2 linked regions of the Drosophila melanogaster genome follow. The protein of the gene in region 1 interacts with the protein of each later gene in a pairwise test. Each region holds a gene or a part of one and is shown on either strand. Other genes may lie near its edges.

Region 1 (8,126 bases):
TGCATTGTCTTTGCAACACTTTTACTTTTCCTGAGCGCCGTAATATCGCTTATTTTTGAATTTGCATATACAGTTGTACGTTTTACTCAACCAGAGATGCATCGCGAATTGTATCGAAATAAAGATTTTTTGATTACCATGGAGTTCTTATCACTCATTCTGGCGGGATCTGGACTCTTTTTGAATTACCTGAAATTCAAAGTTGGTGAGGTACAAATAAATTACTATCTTTTTTAAGCATTCTGTTATAACAGGTTAAAATTATTTTCTGCTTCTGGATTATAACATTCTGCATATTGGAGATTGAAGTATTCGTCTTAATTTTCGTGGAAACCGCTAACAAATTTGATGCCTATTCAATTTTCCACTTCTTGCACATCTGTGAGTATACGTTATTTTGAAAACCTTAAATTTAAAACTTTCTCTTCAATTTTCTTAGGTTTTGCTATATATTCACTTGTTTCAGTTTATGGGAATTTCAAAGGCCTGAAATATTGTCCTACCAAAGAAGTTCAGATGGAGCTTGGAGGTGGAAATAGTTAGTATTAATTTAATAGTTAACAACTGTCCTGCTTATCAAAATAAAGTTTAATAAATATTGCGAATGGATGTAAACTTTTAATAAACTGTTTAGGTGCTAAATTCGAAAATCAAAAAGACCAGAAGAGATTTTCTTTTAAACGCAGTGTTATTTCGTGATTAAAATGATCCTGGGATTAAAGTTGCAAAATAATTTCTTAGCTGAAAACTTCAGATTATGATAAAACCACAAAAATATTATATATAAATAAAAGTAAAGCTGCGCGGGTGTTACAATATTAGAATGTCAGTATTCTAGTTCTTATAATACCCGTGATTTCTACCACAGGTCTTACTGTCACATACTTTGTATCGAGTCTAGCATATCATTTTACTCTTTGAGTAAGGGGTATAAAAGTAAACACACATTTAAGGTTTAAAAGTATGTAAAAGGAAGAGGGAAATGTTGCTCAGGAACAATATCGGAGTCGAACTCTCCATAACCGTCCGTCTGTCCGTTCGTATGAACGCCGAAATCTCAGGAACTATAAAAGCTAGACTGTTGAAATTAAGCATACAGATTCTAGAGATACAGATGTCGTCACGCCCACACTTCTGAAAAATGGTTTGATATTTTTTTTTACTTTTGAGCTAGTTTTTTAAATTTCTATCTATGGGCCAAAAAAAGGTTGCGTCGTCCACTATAACGCCCAAAAAACGCCCAAACCTGTCACGCACACAGTTTTGAAAAATTTTTAAACTTTTTTTCATTTTATTATTCCCAAAATAAATATTGAAATTTCTCGTTCGCACTTCCAGCTGAGTAACGGGTATCTGATAGTCGTGAAACACGACTATAGCATTCTCTCTTGTGTAGTGGCGACTGAGTCAAGTCGTGAAAAGTTCATGTCGTTGAGATATTATAATATATAAAAATCAAAAATATATATGATGAGTGACGCCTGACTTAACCCTACATCGAAAAATAATTAAAAAATCACCAAACAGCCATTCCACACCGAGAGAAATTAAATTATATTTTCATACTATAAATTATAAGGTTTTACAATAACTTATAAATATGTGTACCCGAGGAGGAGACTTAGTTTACATAAATAAATAAATAAAATAAAGGATTTTAGTGTTTATAACCACACTTTTCGATTGATATTTTGTCATGACCTATGTGTCCTGCCACCCACAGTGCCACTTAATATATTAACTTAGCTATTAATATTAATGGGACATTTTGGAAAGGCTTTTGCAATTAATAAAAGTTTCCTTAGGGTTTTAGTTTGAAAAGTGTTAGTCGAAGTTTCGTGCGATGTGTAAGAGTTTCATGATAATTTTGCATCTCCCGTTTTTGATTTGCAATGGATATTTGGTGTGTTCTAGTTAAATATAATTGGGTGTATACCGTCTTAATTGTTTTATTTAGCTTATGTCTCTACTCTTATCAGATTTCAATATTTCGATGACTGAAGGTAATTTCATATTTTATAAATATATCAACATCATTCCATAATTATTAATATTTTAGAATGTCTAGATCTGTGGACACTCCTTGGTATTTTTCAATTAATCAATTCTGCCTATGGTCTCGTTTTGGTTTGTGCCAAGTGTCAGGTTTGTCACCATTGGCGATCCTTTATTAATTGCATTATTAATGTTTCTTATTCATTAAGTTTAAGCTTATAATATTTTCTTGGGGCTTGTTGTCTTCATGGGTTAACTATATTCATATTGCGTGGGTTTTGGGATACTGCCAGAAACATAGCTCCCAGTTTGGGGTGGTCGAAGCCATTACATCTGCCTATTTGGAGGGTAAGAATAAACACGTTTTTATCTTTAGACTTAACAAAATCATTTAAAATCAAATTTGTTTGTTCAGCTTTCAGTATATGCACACTGTACGTTGTGTTTACGTATTATCGTGAATTTGTGGTAAGCTTATACAAACAACTGAATAAAAAGATTAAAATAGAAAGTTAGGTCAACTCTACTATCAGATACTCGGTACTCGCCTAATGAGAGTGCAAGGAAGATATAAACGTACGAAAGCTACTGTTTCTCAAATTGGCGCCATTATTAAACCTATTGCTAAATGCCTTGGTACACTAAATCATATTTTATTAACGTTTTTATGGCCCAAATGTGTTGGGCATATCTATTGAAACCAGCAAGACTAATAATAAAGCAAGACTAATCAAAAGTGTCTTTTCTACACTACAAGTAAAGGGTATAAATTAGCCACAAAACTCGAATAGGTTTTTTACTTATCTTCTATTCAATTATCTGTAACGGGTATACGTAGTCGAGAAACTCGCTTCGGTAAATTTTTTCCCACTTCCACTATGACCTAACCGCAGTGAGTGTTTTTTCCACTCTTTCATTGGTATTCATAAATTAAAGTATTAAGTATCAAAGTTTAAAGTATTATTCATAAATTTTAATTTTAAATTTGACTATTCACATTATATTTCACATATTATTCTTCCTACGTTTAAAACTGATTGTTTTGAGATTATACGTTTATTTTATGAATAGCGATTGTATTGAATGCTAGTAATGATTATATCTTCATTTTTAGCAAACATTAAACTAGTTTAAAACAGACATTGCCCATATTTTAAAAGCCACTTCTGGGACCCGCCACTCAGCTTTTCTTGTCAGCCTGGCAACGTTGATGTCATTCGGCACGCAAAAGCTACTTCGAAAGCTTCGGAGAAGAGATAGAGATAGCCGGCAGTAGAAGCGCCGTTCAGTGAATTTCTAGCCGACGGACAGACCGCACCTGATCCGAGTCATTCGCCCATGAGTCATTCAACTCGCTGCGGGAAAGTGCCTCGCTGATTCCGACAATTTCCCACCATTGGTGGTGCTACGTTGCACGCTGTTAGATTGAGGAAATTCGACATAGTTGCGACGATCTTCCAGAAAGTATCGATAACGTACAGGGAGCCCAGAGAGAGATAGAGAGATATAGAAACATCGCTGATCTCACTGATCCGATTCGATCTCAAAGAGAGCGGAGGAGTACGAAAACAAGTTTCGCGCAGCTTGCTCTCTCTTCAGGCGGCTCTCCAGGAATTTCAGGCATCTCGACCCCCAACGAATCCGAGGAGCATCATCCGCCATGGCGTCCACGTCGAGTGTGAAGCTGATTGTTTACGCCCTGGACGTACTTTGCACAGTGAGTTACTTTCGCTAGTTTCCCGCCCACACCCGAGATAGCCCACTCCAGCGATTACGTCAATTGTATGCGTTGTAAACAAGAATACGGTACAACGACCACTTAAGTTGGTTTCGCAACGATCCCAAACAATGCACGAAATATATCATCTTATCAAATGGCACAACTTTAAGTGTACCTGCGTACATATATACACGGCATATTTTAGTATGGGAACCGTCGCCATGTGTTAATTTTTGGTTGGCAGGAGTGTAAAACACACCAGTAAAACCGTCTAATGGTCGAACCCAATTCCCCGATTATAGTTTATTGGTTTATTTATACAATTTAATTGCAAGCCGCGGTGAGAAGGACCAGATGGCCCCAGAGGTCACAGCATATATAATACGATCGGGCTATCCGTCCGCTGGCAGCTCATCAATTCGAAATTTTCCAATCGATATCTGGACTTGCAGCAGGGACTCGGCTTACTCATGACTTTCGGACGAATCCATTGCAATCGGAAAACAGTCACACTCGTATCAGAGCTAAATCGAAACAGCTAGCGAATTAATCACCGATGTTTGCACCTCGCCTTTCATTTTCGAATCGAAACATCATCGCTGTATGAGCGCCTCACGTCACCTTTTAAACTTATCCCAATGCTACAGAGACTGAATTTGAATAATTCAAACCCACTCAAACAAGCGCGTTAGCAAACAAGCTATCCGCTGCGATACCGCCGTATCAGATATGAATAGTAATCGAGTGACCTTGTCTGTGTGCGCAGTCCTGTCCGAATTGTTTGCTGTGGGTGTCCTTCTTCGACTTCCCAGTCCCTAGTTTCCCACACCACGTTCCCGCCAACTTCCTTGGCGTCTATCCCTGTCGCCAGATGGGCTAGCCTGGAGGACGCCCCCGAATGGGCTCTCCAACTAACGCCTTGTGCGAGGTCAAAACACTAGAAATGGAACACTAGGCCACAAGTACCAGGACTTTAGTTAAATGGGTTGCTGACGAAGGTAACTATTGCCAATTCAGTGAGTTTCACTCGCAAGGAAAGATAAGCTGAATAACATAACAAACACTATACAATAACAACATGTCTATGAATGTGTATTGCCGGCCAATTTGAATTTGGACGGCTTGATTGTGGGATTTCAGCGGTCTCTTATCAAAGCTATCAAAGCTATCAAAGCTGTCGAGCGCCACCCTTATAATTATCTAACTAATATTAAATATATATATATATATATATATTCATAGCGTTGAAGCTTATCAAATTTATGATAAAGTGTTACCCTTTACATGTAATTAATCTTGATTTATTGTAATCTTTTTGAAAGTCTTCAACTTGAACTTAAATCGTGTTGTATGTACGCACGTATTCTTATCTTATCAGATAAATTTAAGGCAGACAATTCATTTCGGTCTTCGGTACTAGTAATTGTATTACTTGAGCTAAACGAACAACATATATGTATTTCTAATGAGGTCAGAATGCTCATTCCGTTCGAGAAGCTCCCAAGATTCCCTACTAATATTGGACTTGTGATCCCACAGCTGCTAGCCTTGGTGCTGATATCCTTCGGCATCTATGTGGCGGTGTCCTACAACCTAAACGAGATCGGTCAGCTGACGGCCTACGGCTACGTGGGACTCGGGGCTGCTGCCCTGCTGGTTGTCCTTTGGGGATACCTGTCCGCCTGGCGCGAGAACGTGTGCTGCACAGTGACGGTAAGTCAAGGATGGGTGTCTACTGTTAAGCATGGTGGTATACGGTTCTATTTCCTTGCAGTTCATTATTTTCCTGTGCCTGGTCATCATTGCCCAGTTCGCCGTCGTCTACTTGCTGATCACCCAGGAGAAGACGGTGGCCTCCAACCTGGCTAATGCCCTGGAGGCCACCTGGGAGGAGGAACTGAACAGCCCTGGTGCCATGTCGCTGTACCAGAACTGGGTGAGTTGACAGCAGGGCTCTAGTTAGAGTCATAAACACTGATAATCACCCATATACCCGTAGTTCCAGTGCTGCGGTCGTGGAAGTCCCCAGGATTACATCGTCAACGAACGACTGCCGCCGGAGACATGTTTCCGAAACCACGACAAGAGCAAGCCGGAGAACCTGATCCACACCGGCTGTCGGGTGGAGTTCGAGAACTACTGGCAACACTTGACCAAGATTTTTAACATCCTGGCCCTCGTACTCATTGGCTTCGAGGTGGGTGTCCCAAAAGCGAACGACTGAGCGCTGTTTTTAAAATGTCCCCATCTCTTGCAGCTCCTGCTGAGTGTCATCTCTTGCCGCCTGTGCAACAGCATTCGCAACGATGCTCGACGTTCTTACTTTTAGACAGTGAAACCTGAAAATACTCAACTGGGATTGGCAGTCGACTTGTTAAATTTCTGAAGAATATTACACTATTAATTAATTGGCTTGGCAGGTCTTGAGCGTTATTCAAGACTGGGGTATTGCTGTTATATTTTCGAAATTGAAACTCATTTAATCAGCACAGTGCACTGAAATGATCCCTTTTCACACGTTGATTTCAGTGAAATACAGAGGGCAACTCACAACTAAGATTAAGAAAAGTAAAATAGATTTAGTTTTATTTATTTCAACATACTTTTAAATAAATTTATCGAACCAAAGTCAAGCACCTACTTCATTCTGTTATTATTGAAAAACACATTATATTTAGCGTGTTTGGGTCGTGTTTCGTTACTATTCTAACCTAATTAGTTATCCATATAGTTGCACACACCTGATTAGTAACGTATTGGGGCACACATTGTGGGGCACATTTGTGGTTTGCTTGTATAAATTATACAAACGATATTATATTTAAAAATAAAACTGCCGGTTATGTTGCTCACACATAGAAAAGCTTTGGTATCCAAAAAATAAATACACACGATGAACGTTTCAAATGGAAATTAATTATAAACCGAATATTTCTACTGGCAAAAATAAAATAAAAAAAGCGAGAATGCTGCAGTCAGAGTACTATTACTATGAGATGCGACACACCCTCAAAGTAATCAGGGTATATTAGCTTTCCAAGCCTGTTGCACTTTTTGGAAAAAATATGATATTTTTAATGAAGTGTTTTATTAAAGGATCAGTACAATCGTCGTTCTGTATTTCAGCAGATAAGTCAGCTTATGTTGATATCGTGGTGTTTTTAGGAAATGTTTGTTCCTTGCTCACGTGCACAACATACCCTATTTTTTCGAGTAAGGGGTATAACTAGCATGGGCCACCGCGTCTTCCATTTTATTCAAATAGATCGTCATCTATTTCTGTTTTCTGTGTACACGCTAACGAACATATATAAGTAAATATCTAGTTGAGCACAAAATCATTGCGCTCTTGCGGCCAAATGTTTCGATTCCACACGTTGTGCCGAAGCTTTCGTTCCGATTTCCGCCGTTTGTTCGCCAAATGCTTTTCGCGCTATCAACAAAGTCGGAACGTTTGGAAAAGTTTTCAGTTTTCAGTTAACAGTCGAGCGGTGAGCATGAGCCCGGTTTTGGGTAACCCCAGCAACCGTTAGATCCGAAATAAATATTTTCCGATTGTCAACAAGCCGCGAGTTGCCAAGTGTTATAAATAATACGCGTAACCTCCTGCAAAGAAACAATAGATATATAGTTTCCGAAAATTGGATTGGCAAGATGGCCTGCTCCACAAACGTTTTGAAGGGCTTTGCCCTCTTTTGGGATATTATCCTCGCTGTGAGTATTATATACTATAAGCATCCATAAAGATTAAGCATTACATGTTTTAAGCGTTAAGGGGCAGGTATTTCTGTCGCGCAACTCTGGTGACCCCAAACAGCACGACGACAGTAATTAAGCTGAAGCTCTAGCCAAGGCTAATTGCAGGAAAACAACTTAACTTTGGCCAAATGCCAGTTCTTGCCCAAGAAACGTTCTCCAGCTTCGCCCAAGTTCATTCACAAATCCATCAGCCTTTGACGTGACATTTGTTTATTTCATTGCACAGAATTCAAACATTGGAGCGCCTCCTTAAGCATAAATATTGTTTTGCTATTTTTGTTTGTTTTTGTGTTTCATTTTCAAATTCACTTGAATGTTGAGGCAAATACTTTTACATCAGCCAGATAGGGAAAAACTCTTCTAAAAGGCACCATGTTCTAGCGAATTTCACCCGCACAAAAATATCTTTAAAAATGATATAATATTTAGATATTTGCTTGTATTTTGTTTATTTTCTATTGAGCTTTTTATTTGGCTTTCAACATTTTATGTCTGCCAAGTCGAAACTTGGTCACCCACGCCATCACTTAACCCTGAACAAAATCTACAGAATTTTTATTAGATATTCGCTGTTATTTTAGTTGGATTTACTTGAACCAGATTTTGGCTTGGGCCGTGTGTACATATACATATCTGTTGATGTCATTTCCTA
Region 2 (7,139 bases), on another chromosome or scaffold:
ATGCTTATTCTTTCCTTCTATTCTCTTATCTATCCTTCCCGTTCTTCCCATTACTCTTAAATTACGCTTGAACACTGAAACCTATAAGCACATCGATCTATTCCTTTGTTCCACAACTCACTAACAATCCACATCATTTAACTGGAATTTAAATTTGCTTTTGAACTTTCGTGTTTGCCAAAGCCTGCTAATTTAGTTTACTTTTCCTGAAAACGACATTTAAACATTTTCTTTGAAAAATGCAGGTGCACATCGTTGCGGCACATACGAGACAATGATGAGAAGGACTCAGCCTTCCGTGGAATGTGTCATATGATCACGGTGAATCCAGCTGGCGTGGTAGCAGACTTTATATTCTTCTGCGATGCCATCGCTTCCTGGGTTAACCCACCAGAGGATCTGCATCAGATGATACAGAAGGTTTGTACCCTACAGGTAGTAACTATTTTCTTTATTTCACACATGTTTCTTTCAAGATTCTGCACGGTTTTAAGACCCAAGTGGGCGAGGAGAACTGGCGTCGATTTGTGGAGCAATTCCCGCCAACCTTGGCCGAGCGCCTGACCACAATGTATAACATCTAAGGCTAGCCATGCCATAAAACACCCACCTTCACCCATTAGCGAGCCAAGCAGCAACTTTTTAACTAGACAATTATGTACAAGTATGCGTAATAAGCGTGTCGTCTTTATCTTTAGCCTCCTTAAGTTATTCGATGCAGTTCGAATGTTAAGTTAACATTGAAAATCTAAGCTTATAGAAATCGAAAAAAACAGCAAATCCACATAAAAGAAACTACATAACTAGATTTAAATCCACAAACATATATCGAAAAATCGAATAGAGAAGAATCGTATATATTTGAATTCAAGCTAGAGGATCTTTGATCTGTAGAACCTCTTTAGGCACACGACTGTCCGCTTACAGCATATAAAATGCCTTTCTTGTGCAGAAAACTTAGTAGGAACCACTAGAAAATTATGTGTTCCGGCCGTACTTAACCGGAGTCAGTGCTATAGCAGATATGCCCCATTCTCCAATACACTCTGCCCCAAAACCCAAACCGAAAATAGAGTTGAATATGTTAAACACACGGGTGTTTCTCATATAGTAATAGAAAAGCTAAATGAAAAATCGTCGAAACTAAATGATATTGCGGGTCCTCGTCGCGGTAATTAAAAACTAAATAACTAAATAAAATCTTTAAAGGATGAAAGTGTTGGGTCTCCTGTGAAATCCTAAGATCAGAAATGGAAAAATGGATTCAATGGCAGGTGCACACAAAATTGTTACAAATCAAACAAAGACTGATGTTCAACTCCGTTCAAAAACCATAGAAAGCATTCATCAACAGCGGATTCCAATTTCCCAGAAGTATCCAACACTTTCGTCATTTATATAACAAACAAAAAATGGAATCGAAAAAAATCGTCGCGTTTCGGGTTCTAACGGTTTCGCGTTCGCGTATTTTCGTCGCTCGTTCGTAATCGTAATCGTCGTTCGTGGTATCTCGTCGGGTAAAACAAAAGAAAAAGGAAAAAAGGATATAATACAAGGATAACGATAATATTGCAACTGTTACTGATACAAATTTACTGATACACTTAATGATATTCATATGCTATACAAAATTAGGTGTTTTTTTACGCATTGTGAAAGCGAAAAGCAAGCAAATAGGGAAACATTGTAAAATTGAGATTAGGATTTTGTTGAATATCTTATTTATTTTCCATTAACTGAATACAAAAGCAACCATTGACTGATCACTTTTTAAAGTATTATTATATAATTTTTTTTTGTATAGGGACAAGTGTAATTAATGAACTATTATTATTTTCTTCGAACTTTTATATCATTTGTATAGACTCGTGTTTTGCGTAACCTCTATAATTTACGATCTTTGTACAGAACAAATTTTTTACAATTATATGATTAGGTGTAAAGTGTACTACTAAATGAAAACAAAAGTCTTTGAAATTGTCGCGGAACAACTAAAACATACGAAAAATAAAACTAGGGAAAACCAAACTCAGTCAAATACAAAATAAATGGATGATTATGAAGCGTAAGAAGAGTAAGTAAATCTAAGTAATAGTATTACGTAATTATGCAAACCGTGTTTACGTTTGTGTTTTTATTTCGTTTCGAAAATGGGGGAACGTGTGATAATAAAGTAACTTCGGGTCGTTCGTTCGCGTCGCGTTAAACTCAATCAATTTAAAAACTAACAATAAGGGACTTTCGCCCCCGAGTCCCAAATAATAATCGCAATACTTGATAACTTGATAATAATACGGTCTAACTAAAGCGGAAGCATAGCAATTGCTAAAACTGAAACTAAACTAAAATGAAAAATCGTGATTTCGTTGTACCTTAATCCGGATTCATCGCGGAATCCGGTCGCGTTCGCGTGCGTTTGTATCTCTCTCGGGTGATCTTAGTGATTAGCGTTTAAGCAGAAAAAAAAAATGAAAACAAAAAAACTGAATCAACACTACTACAACTACACATAAACATACAACATTAAACATGTACACACCACACATATACAGCAATATGAAATATATTTATAGATTTTATGCAGAGTAGGTTTTTGTTTAAAATATTATTTTTCATTACGATAGGGCAAACCAAAAAAAAAAGTAGGGAACATCAAATAAACTAAATGTTAGGTCAAGCTAGGGCAAGAAACAAATTAAAACAGCAAATCAAAAGTTATTTGTGCAGCATTAGAGAATTTTTTTCTTATTTCTTTCAATATTATCGTGTGTATGCTATTAAATCGATGAAGAGAACATACCAACTGTTTTTAGTACTTTACACAATTATGATATTTAACTTCCGTTGTTTTTTTTAAGTAAATCAAGACCAAGCCTAGTAAATATTGTTTTACCATCTATATCTTCATAAACAGCACGTAAAACTTTTCGTTCATCGAACATTCAACTCTGATAGGTTTATATCTCTAATCGTTTAAGCTTACAACCACTGTCTAGGCTAAATCAAATGTTCTGCAAATGTCTAACGAAATTGAATATATATACGGGCCTATATGCATAAATAACATACGCATATATATGAAATACATGCATGTATGTATAATCCCTACATCAAACTATATGGATTACAGATTATTCTTCTGGAGTTTATATATTTGTTTGGCTAAAAACTCCATTTCAAAATTCAACTATCAAGATTTGTGTAAATTGAAAAGTATATATATGAATAAATATGTATGTATAACAAACATTACCCATCAAGATAATGGATTTTCTGATTTGTATGGGATATGAGTAGGCCGAGAACAGAGTGTCATTCTCTGTCACTTCGGTAGCCCCCTTTGGCAGACCTTACCCCACATTTATCATACAAAACCCGGCTAACTTTTGCATCAGCAGCAAAATGGCATGGACACCACGGGATGAAGGTCTGCAGCAGCTCCTACCGATACTCAAGGACTCACAGTCTCCCGGTAAAGCCACGCAGCTAGCCGTGCAAGAGGTAAGTACCGAAGACCCAACTGATTTAGCAATCCTCATCGGGTGCTTCCCGGACTTCAACAACTATCTCGTCTATGTGCTCACGAATCTGAAGACGGAAAACGAGGCAACGCGCTCCATGAGCGGCCTAATCCTCAAGAACAACATTCGCATGCACGACATCACTCTGCAGCCGGAACACCTGGAGTATATCAAACACCAGTGCCTGCAGGCAGTGGGCGACTCTTCACCCGAGATCCGTGGCACCGTGGGCATTCTGATTACCACCATTGCCAGCAATATCGGTCTGCACAACTGGCCGCAGCTGCTTCCATCTCTCTGCGAAATGCTCGACAACCAGGACTACAATGTGTGCGAAGGAGCATTCAGTGCTCTGCAGAAAATTTGCGAGGACTCTGCCGGAATTTTGGAAAATATGCCATTAAATACAATGATTCCAAAGTTCCTGGAGTACTTTAAGCACAGCAGTCCAAAGATCCGCTCCCACGCCATTGCCTGCATCAACCAGTTCATCATCAACAGATCACAGGCCCTGATGCTAAACATAGACAGCCTCATTCAGAACCTCTTAGACGTGCCCTCGGATAATGACCCAGCGGTTCGCATGAACGTCTGCCACGCATTGGTTGGTCTGGTGGGGGTGCGCATAGACCTTATGATGCCGCACATGTCGCAGATTATTGAGGTATGAAGTTAAGGTTTAGTTTTAAATTTTAACGTAATGAAAAATCTCTGTAGCTCATTTTGTTGCGCTCCCAGGACGCCGATGAGAACGTGGCTCTGCAGGCCACCGAATTTTGGCTTTCATTGGGAAAGCAGAGAAACTGCAGGGATATACTTTCTCCCATTCTATCCCAGTTAGTCCCAGTTCTTGTAAGCCGAACGCAATACACGGAGACGGACATTATTCTTCTGAAGGGCGATGTAGGTGAAGATGACAAGGAGCCTGATAGACAGCAGGATATCAGTCCACGTTTCCACATGTCCCGCGTACACGGTATAAGTAATGAATTGGATGAAAACTCGGACGACGATATGTGGGATTCGGCATTGAACTTGCGCAAGTGCAGCGCTTGTGCTCTCGACATTATTTCGAAAATTTTCGGCGATGTCTGTCTGCCCCTTATGCTGCCCATCCTAAAGGAGGCGCTATTCCACCAGGAATGGGTGATCAAAGAAAGTGGTGTGATGGCCTTGGGAGCTATTGCGGAGGGCTGCATGCAGGGCTTGATCCCACACTTACCAGAGCTGATTCCCTACCTAATTACCTGTCTGTCTGACAAGAAGCCACTCGTACGCTCCATTACATGCTGGACGTTCATGCGATTCCCCAAATGGGTGCTCAACCAGCCGCACGACAAGTACTTGGAGCCTCTAATCGAGGAACTGCTGAAGTGCATCCTGGACTCCAATAAGCGCGTTCAGGAAGCTGCGTGCTCTGCCTTTGTCGCTCTGGAGGAGGAGGCCTGCACGCAACTGGTGCCCTACCTGGAGAATATGCTAAAGACGTTCGTCTTAGCCTTCTCCAAGTACCACCAAAGGAATCTACTGATAATGTACGATGTCGTTGGTCTTTTAGCGGAGTCCGTCGGTCATCATCTGAATAAACCGCAATATATTGACATCCTAATGCCTCCGCTAATGGATAAGTGGAACCTGGTAAAGGACGACGACAAAGATATAATCTATTTGTTGGAGTGCCTATCGAGCATCGCCACTGCGTTGCAGTCCTCCTTTCTGCCCTACTGCGACTCGGTGTATCGAAAGGGCATCTCCATTATTGAGGAGACTATCAACCAGGACATGGTAAGCAACTGTGTTAGCTTCAATGTAAATCTATCAATGAACTCGACTCCTTTCAAGATGTGTAAACAAAGCCAATCAACCGATTATCCTGACAAGGAGCGCATGGTTATCGCCCTGGATCTGGTGTCTGGCTTGATCGAGGGGCTGCAGAGCCTCATAGAGCCACTGGTGGCCAACAGCAAACTTTTGCAGCTGCTCTGCCAATGCATGGGCGACGTTATGCCCGAAGTAAGTTTTACCTAATTAATATACTCGTGTATATGGGATTAAAATACATATTAGGTTCGCCAATCATCGTTTGCCCTGCTGGGTGATTTGAGCGGGGCTTGTTTTTCCCAGGTATACCCCTACACGGCCCACTTTATTTTGATCTTGGTGCAAAACCTAAACCCCAGCGTTGTTGGTGTGTGCAACAATGCAGTTTGGGCCATAGGGCAAATCTGCGTTAAGTTGGGTAAGTTGGCTTGGTTCTCTTATAATGTAACAAAAAAGATTTTTTGTATTTCGCCCCTAAGGTGAGGAAACCAAGCCGTACGTACGCCTTCTGCTTAGCGAACTAATGATCCTGATGAACCGGCAGGACATTCCAAAAAATCTTTCGAGGAATGCGGGTAAGTAATTTGGCCTGATTTAAAGTAATTTATTATTATTATTCTTTTTTTTAAGCAATAACACTTGGGCGCCTCGGAAATGCATGTCCAGATGAAGTGGCTCCCTATTTGCCCGAATTCCTACGCCAGTGGTATGTACACATTAAATGCTTCATTTGCTCATTTTTTAAATTATCCTTTCTTCCACGAAATGAAGGTGCTTGTTATTGCGTTACGCATATGACCACGACGAGAAGTATTTGTCTTTTATGGGAATGTGCCATATGATCAGGGAGAATCCAGGAGGCGTGGTGCCCGACTTCTTATTCTTTTGCGATGCCATTGCCTCGTGGGACAATCCTCCACAGGATCTGCGTCAGATGATTCGAAGAGTAAGTTATTTCCGGAAATTATTAATTTTCGTCTTTCAACAATACTCGTTTGTTATTCTAGATTATCGAAGGCTTTAAGAACCAAACGGGTGCGGAGAATTGGCTAATTTTTTTGGGGAAATTTCCACAACCACTGGCCTGCCGGCTAATCGAACTGTACGACATCGAATACTAATCCGAAGCTATCCAGCCAATTATGTATTGCTTCAATCATCATTCTAATTTTACTAAGTAACCAAAGCCCCAAAAAAAGTCAGCTATTGAGTAATATACGATTTTATATAATCATTTATAATATGAATAATTCAACAAAACCTGAAATATTTTTGTAAATAAAGTCTCAATAATTGTAAAAATGTATGTTACACCATTTAAAACTTATGACATAAAAAAACAAAAGTTTTAGTTTCATTAAAATGTTTATTTTATTGGTTTATTGGAATTACAAAAATGCAAGATTCTCTTAAGGAGTTTTAAAAAGGATATATAAATGTAAATGGCTTTAATAGAATTGGCACGCAGTTTGGCTTATAGTACTAGGAATATATACGACTGGCATCTTTGCTAAGGATCTATTACTTTGAAGACCTTATGACTTTTTTATGACCCGTCGATTTTGTTCGTTTGAAATTTGATCGTTCGTTGTCCTTTGATTAGCAGTTGTCGGCAAAAGAAGATTCTTCCTGGCAGTTTTTCGTAGTCGTTGTCCAAATAAATCATAGGTCCTTAAGTCGTTCCGAAGTTCTTTATTAGTTGAGGGGACAATAGCCCTGCCAAATATCGCCAACGACCATGTTCGGCGTGATGTTGATCATCCTTTGGTTAACCTCCACCTTGCTGATGCAGCCCTT

The links.
Region 2: the proteins of Tsp42Ef (region 1) and CG8219 interact in a two-hybrid assay, tested with the Drosophila melanogaster proteins (one large-scale study listed by BioGRID).

What each region holds. Positions count from the first base shown.
Region 1 is NT_033778.4:7,021,730-7,029,855, forward strand, and holds Tsp42Ef (tetraspanin 42Ef), read left to right. Parts: upstream 1-3,280; 5' UTR 3,281-3,655; coding exon 3,656-3,712; intron 3,713-5,254; coding exon 5,255-5,428; intron 5,429-5,489; coding exon 5,490-5,651; intron 5,652-5,714; coding exon 5,715-5,912; intron 5,913-5,972; coding exon 5,973-6,044; 3' UTR 6,045-6,353; downstream 6,354-8,126. Other genes in the region: Tsp42Eg (tetraspanin 42Eg), read left to right, coding at 7,370-7,429.
Region 2 is NT_037436.4:6,197,138-6,204,276, forward strand, and holds CG8219 (uncharacterized protein), read left to right. Parts: upstream 1-3,335; 5' UTR 3,336-3,402; coding exon 3,403-3,501; intron 3,502-3,594; coding exon 3,595-4,185; intron 4,186-4,238; coding exon 4,239-5,306; intron 5,307-5,363; coding exon 5,364-5,534; intron 5,535-5,588; coding exon 5,589-5,760; intron 5,761-5,821; coding exon 5,822-5,917; intron 5,918-5,972; coding exon 5,973-6,048; intron 6,049-6,113; coding exon 6,114-6,288; intron 6,289-6,349; coding exon 6,350-6,463; 3' UTR 6,464-6,639; downstream 6,640-7,139. Other genes in the region: Tnpo (transportin), read left to right, coding at 246-420, 477-584; LanA (laminin A), read right to left, coding at 7,038-7,139.